2 linked regions of the Saccharomyces cerevisiae S288C genome follow. Each later gene encodes a partner of the first gene's protein in a complex. Each region holds a gene or a part of one and is shown on either strand. Other genes may lie near its edges. The genes, in order: RPO26 and RPA49.

Region 1 (3,060 bases):
ATATGCAAGAAAAGAAAAAAAAATACAATACTAGTAAACTGAAATAAAAAAGATTAGCCATAATGGATTTGTTTCTCTTTGTTATCGATATTCTTACCTCTTGAAGATCCATGTGTCTATCATTTGAATTGAATATATAATTATATACAGTGAGATATACCAATTGCAGTAACAAAATGGCAAATATGTATATCAGTAATATAATTAGCATATAAAATAAAAAAAAAAAATGCTTATTTGTCACCCGCTGACTGCGTTTCCTTTTGAATTATAAAAGGTTCCTTATGGTTCTGGTCCACTAGCGTTTTATTTTCTTCCTTTTCCTGTAATATTTTTAACTTTAGCTCATGTACTTTGTGCTTGTCTATATGTTTCTCGTATTTTTCCTTTGTCTTGAAAGTCCTAGAACAATTATTGTAAAAGCATCTGTATTTTCTTCCAACGGTATTCAATAAAAGGTTTAGCCCATTTTCACCAGACTCAAGTCGCTTTTCTAAATCCACTTCATTCTGTAAAAACTCTACATTATTGTTTTCGGTAAGTTTTCTCCTTTTCCTCAACCTATTGGAAATCTTCTCTTCATCCTGCTCATTCGAGTGTTTGCTATTCCCCAGTTGAACTCCGTGGTCTTGGACAAGTTGTTGAATATCAGAAATTTTATATTTTAGTTCCAGTGGGATATCTTCTTCCGTATGAATAGACCCATAATGCGTGAGAAGATCATGTTTTCTAGAAAAAGACATATCAGGACATATATGACACTTCCAATTTTTGGTTACTAGTGAGTCGTCATGAATAATCATGTGCATTTGTAAACCATTTTCCCCCACACATGGTTTGCTACAAATAGGACATTTTAATTTAGGATGATCATTTTTTATATGCGATTGCAATTGTGACCATATCCGAAACTCTTTGCAACAACCAGCAAAAGTACATTGGTAAGGATTTTCTACCTCAGGATCGTGATGTTTAGAAATGTGATTTCTTAGCCTATATGGCCTCTGAAAGCTTTTATTGCAGTGTGGACAGGTTAGTTTATGTAAATGAACAGATAAAATATGTGCCCTTAATTGTGGATGCTTGTAGAATCGGAGGTTGCATCCTTCCTCTGGACAAATGAAAGATTTGGTATGCGTTACTTCGTGTCGCTTCAGTTGCTGGCGAGTCGTCACTCCTTTTCCACAATAAGAACATTGGAATGGTTTCGTATCAGAATGCGTATACAAGTGTCTCTCTAAGTGACTCTTTTTAACGAAGGATTTTGCACACTTATCACACTGAAATGCTCTTAAACCCTGATGTACGCTTAATTGGTGTTCAGTCAAAATTGAAGGTCTTGTAAATGCCTTATCACAGCCATCATAGTCACAGAAATATGTCTTTGGCCTATTGCTCGATGAGCTTCTAGTTGATGTTAAACTGTTCAATGATTCTGAACTCTCTGATCGTGATATGGGAATGGTCTCCTGTTTAAGTTCGGCCAGTGGCATTCCTTCATTATTTAGAACCTCTCCTCCCATTTGACAGCGATTTCAACAGTTACTACTGTGCTTAATGCCCTTATTTGATAGTTAGTTCTTCTTATAATAAATAATCATTGTATATTGATTATTCGTATAGTATGATATTTAATTGAAAAAAAAATTTTTTTTTTTTTAAGAATATCATTCAAAGGCATCAATCACAACCTTGAAGAAAGGCTAAAAAGACACATTTTGCAGGTAACAGTGTAAAGATTAAGGCTACAAGTGATCATGTCAGACTACGAGGAGGCGTATGTGCATTCATATTGGAGAAATTGCGTGCTTTAGTTTTAATTATATTTACTAACTTCTATCATTGTGATACAGGTTTAACGACGGTAATGAGAACTTCGAAGATTTTGATGTAGAGCATTTTTCTGATGAGGAGACTTATGAGGAAAAACCTCAATTCAAGGATGGTGAAACAACCGATGCCAACGGTAAGACCATCGTTACTGGTGGTAATGGCCCAGAAGATTTTCAACAGCATGAGCAAATAAGAAGAAAGACACTTAAGGAAAAGGCCATCCCAAAAGACCAAAGAGCAACTACTCCATACATGACCAAATATGAAAGGGCAAGAATTTTAGGTACAAGAGCCCTACAAATTTCCATGAATGCGCCAGTTTTTGTAGATTTAGAAGGTGAAACTGATCCATTGCGTATTGCCATGAAGGAGTTGGCTGAAAAGAAAATTCCTTTGGTTATTAGAAGATATTTACCAGATGGTTCCTTTGAGGACTGGAGTGTGGAGGAACTCATTGTGGATTTGTGATTACACCTGCATTTTCCTTTATGTGTATTTGCTTTGTTTGTATATTATTATAACTATAAAGAACGATTTATTTTGTAATGCAAATAACTGGACGAGAGAACCACGCTATAACCTATTTGGTAATAAAAATGTTTGTATGAATAAAAAAGCTGCTGACTGCTTTCTTTGATATGTGTATATAGAATATTTAATCGGTGATTGAATCTAAGAAAAGCTTACCTCTGAAAGTTCTCTCTTCGGTCGCTTGCTGATTTGTAGTAAACAATTTGAAAAGTTTAGCAAATTCTTCCTCAGGATTTTCAAAACCGGCTTCCTTTAAAGAATCAATGACCTCATTCAAGGGAACGTTTAAATCGTGTCCTCTTCCAATGGCTTTTAAACTTTCTTCCAATTCTTCACGCTCGGGAAACTGCGATAAGTTCTTCCCCATGATAGATAAGAATATGGGAAAGCTTACACCTTCTTCTCCAACTTCCGCGGTACTGGTGTCATTGTCAGGTACCATTTTGGACCATTCCTCATCTGTCAATGTCTTCCCCAATGTTGCATATATCTTGGTAAGATCTCCCCTACTAATCAGACCATCCTCATCCTCATCCAGCATTTGGAAAGCATCTTTGAGTTTATTTATGTAGTCCTGCGTAAGTTGGTTAAACGTTAGCGATTCACTATGGTCCATATCTACTTCAAGTTTGCTCAATAAACGATTCGAAATTACTCTTTTCTTAGCTGTGCATTGTATAGTTTAGAAATACGAGA
Region 2 (3,724 bases), on another chromosome or scaffold:
ATAATTCTTTCTCTAAGGGACTAAACTTTTTAGAGATATGACCTGCAGAAGCTGCATCGTTCTTCAATGCTCTAATAGTCTTAAAAAAATTGTTCATGGAGTTTTCAAATGACTTTACTTCATGGATCAAAGATTCCTTGAAATCCAATTGATTGTTCCATTGTACTGAGGCAAAAGCCAATCTTAATTGGCGCGGTGAGAATTTTTTCAAAGCTTCTTGAATGGTAATGAAATTCTTTAAGGATTTAGACATTTTTTGACCCTCAATATGTAAATGGCCCGTATGTAAGAAATAGTTGATCCACTGTTGATTGTCGAAGCGAGCCTCGGATTGAGCCAATTCGTTATCATGGTGAGGAAAGGCCAAATCGATGCCACCTGAATGAATATCGATGTTAGAGCCTAGGATATCACTGGCCATCACAGAACATTCAATATGCCATCCTGGTCTACCCTTACCCCATGGTGATTCCCACTCAGGTTCACCTGCCTTGGAAGCCTTCCATAAAGCAAAATCATTATTCGACTTTTTTCCGTTATCAGCAAAGTTGCTTAAGGACCCTTCACCATCATTAATTAAGTCTAACTGGCCCTTATTCCATGGCTGGCATTTAGCATAGTCATGATTTGGGGATTTGTCAAATTTTAAAGTATCAAAGTACACGGAACCGTCGGAAGTGGCATATGCGTAACCATTATCAATAATTTTTTGAACAAAGTCAATAATTTCTGGAACGTACTCAGAAACACGAGTTGTAACGGTGGGAGGTAGCACGTTTAATGATAACATGTCATCATTGAATTTCTGTTCCCAGTAAGCTGGAAGTTGGCGGAAAATCTCTGGATTGCTAATGGTAGAGCCCAATTCTTTATCCAATAGAGGAACCGTAACGTCCTTGACTTTTTCAAAGGCAACTTCTGCGTCCATGGAATCGCCCTTAGTGATTGATTCAATAGCATTTTGAACTGCGGTGACATGCATAGGGAATTTAGGATTCTCCAATTTTAAAGTTTCAGTATCAGCATTCGATAACCAAGTTTCAAATTCTTCGATAGTTTTGATCTCGCTGCCTTGAATAGTAAAATTTTTGTTGATATATTGGAAAAGTGCGGTTTTGACCTTGTCAACAACAGTGGCGTTGAATTTGGTATCATTTTCTTTGACAAAATTGTCAAATAAATAGTTTTGTCTAGCTCTCAAAATAATTTTATCGTCGATATCAGTAACATTTTGCACAAATTGCACGTCGTAACCAAAATAATCTTGAATAATTCTTCTATTGATATCAATAGAGACATAGTTTCTGGCATGACCCATATGGGAGGCATCGTAAACAGTAGGACCGCAAGAGTACCAAGTGACACCTCTATTGCCAGATTGCGGAATGAATTCAACCTTAGATCTTGTTAAACTGTTGTACAACTTCAACACAGTTTCTTTAGCTTGTGGCGTTGGAACCTTCCATTTGGGCTGCACAATCTTCGGCGTAGACATTATAGTATATCTTCTCAGGGCTTTTATGAAGATATTCATGCATAGAATAAGAACTTGACCGGACACCTAATCACCGACGCCAATTAGCAATACTGTTCTTTTCAATTGATAATGTCTTTTGACTCTTCGCGATGAAAAATGTTTGCGGTCACCCGCGCTGAAAATTTTTTATTGCGATGAGCTGAAATTTTCCATCTCATTTTTAATAGTAAGTATTCTTGCATGAACACTAATGATATTAGGAGGGCTTTTTAAGTTGCTACCACTATTGCAGTCGTTATCAACCTTTTGCACTTTATCTAGTAATGTCCGTGAAAAGGTCTGTTTCTGAAATCGAAATTGAAAGTGTTCAAGATCAACCCTCTGTTGCCGTGGGAAGTTTCTTCAAGGGCTTCCGTGCTCCCAGTGACACTACGTTCGACTTATACAAAAAAAAGAAGTCTGAAAAGGACGAATTCGTATTACACGGTGAAAACGAGAGACTAGAATACGAAGGTTATACTGATTCTTCTTCCCAAGCTTCGAACCAGTATGTTGTGGGCCTATTTAATCCAGAAAAGAAAAGTATTCAACTCTACAAGGCTCCCGTACTTGTTTCCAAAGTTGTATCCAAGTCAAGCAAGAATCTAAGGGGTCCAAAAATAAAAAGTAAGAGTGATACTCGTCCATCTGCTTTGAGAAATGCGTTGGGTGAAGCGTTTGGTACTAAAAAGGCTAAAAAAGCTATTGCAGATCTAGAAAGAAACCGTATTGACTCTGATAAGTTGACTGATTCTGCTATTGACATTGTGGATTCCGTGAGAACTGCATCTAAGGATTTACCAACTCGGGCTCAATTGGATGAAATTACTTCCAACGATAGACCTACTCCATTAGCCAATATCGATGCCACTGATGTAGAACAAATTTACCCAATTGAAAGTATAATACCAAAGAAGGAATTACAGTTTATTCGCGTTTCATCAATTCTGAAAGAAGCGGATAAGGAAAAGAAGTTGGAATTGTTCCCATACCAAAACAATTCCAAGTATGTGGCAAAGAAATTGGACTCTTTGACACAACCTTCACAAATGACCAAATTACAGCTACTATACTACTTATCACTATTACTGGGCGTATACGAAAATAGACGCGTGAATAACAAGACGAAGTTGTTAGAAAGGTTGAACAGTCCTCCTGAAATCTTGGTAGATGGTATCTTAAGCAGATTTACCGTGATAAAGCCTGGACAGTTTGGAAGATCAAAGGATCGCTCCTATTTCATTGACCCACAAAATGAAGATAAAATCTTATGCTACATCTTGGCAATCATAATGCATTTGGATAACTTCATTGTTGAAATCACACCCTTAGCACACGAATTGAACTTGAAACCTTCCAAAGTTGTCAGTTTGTTCAGGGTACTTGGTGCTATTGTCAAAGGTGCCACAGTGGCTCAAGCTGAGGCTTTTGGCATTCCAAAAAGTACTGCAGCTTCTTATAAAATTGCCACTATGAAAGTTCCATTTAAGCTACCTGAAATGACAAGAAGAGGAAGAGGTCCAAGACGTTAGAGTTACCTAGAGGTATATACTGAGCATTTGGTTTGCTCTGGTTTTTTTTTTTGCTAGATGGTTCTATAAAGCAGCAAAATATAAGACGGTCCTCCTGATGAGAGGAAGAGAAAAACAAAAATAACTACATAGATATACGCTATTTTTTCTGAGAAGATACATATGTACAAATAGATATTTTACAATAATTTTAAACTTCGCAATAAATTCAATATTAATTCATAGCGTAGTTCGGCTTTCTAGCACCTTAGTAAGCTGAAATTTAAAAATGTATCAGTTTATTTTTTTCAATAAAGGTAACTTTAAATGAGAAACCAACGTGTTATATAGGTGAAATCATGAATAGCAGTCTGCAAGTTGGCATCGGAATTGATGTAGGTTCATCAAGTGCTAGAATAGGTGTATATAATTACTACAATGATGCGCTGTTAGAAATGGCGCAGGAACCAGTCCCATACTACCAGGATTCTTCAAAGAAGTCATGGAAATTCTGGCAAAAATCAACTGAAATAATTAAAGCCCTTCAAAAGTGTCTTCAGAAACTGAACATTAGAGAATATGAGGTAAAGTCATGTGGTGTTTCTGCAACGTGTTCATTAGCTATTTTCGAAAGGGATCGCACAAGTAACATGCTGATACCGTATCCAAATGAAGATAATGTCATATTTTGGATGGA

The links.
Region 2: RPO26 (region 1) and RPA49 share a complex: the UniProt entries of both Saccharomyces cerevisiae proteins name them as parts of the RNA polymerase I (Pol I) complex.

The regions. Positions count from the first base shown.
Region 1 is NC_001148.4:909,500-912,559, forward strand, and holds RPO26 (DNA-directed RNA polymerase core subunit RPO26), read left to right. Parts: upstream 1-1,757; coding exon 1,758-1,777; intron 1,778-1,853; coding exon 1,854-2,301; downstream 2,302-3,060. Other genes in the region: PZF1 (Pzf1p), read right to left, coding at 234-1,523; MLC2 (Mlc2p), read right to left, coding at 2,489-2,980. UniProt on the Saccharomyces cerevisiae protein: DNA-dependent RNA polymerases catalyze the transcription of DNA into RNA using the four ribonucleoside triphosphates as substrates.
Region 2 is NC_001146.8:180,685-184,408, reverse strand, and holds RPA49 (DNA-directed RNA polymerase I subunit RPA49), read left to right. Parts: upstream 1-1,800; coding exon 1,801-3,048; downstream 3,049-3,724. Other genes in the region: CRS1 (cysteine--tRNA ligase), read right to left, coding at 1-1,534; MPA43 (Mpa43p), read left to right, coding at 3,387-3,724. UniProt on the Saccharomyces cerevisiae protein: DNA-dependent RNA polymerases catalyze the transcription of DNA into RNA using the four ribonucleoside triphosphates as substrates. Component of RNA polymerase I (Pol I) which synthesizes ribosomal RNA precursors.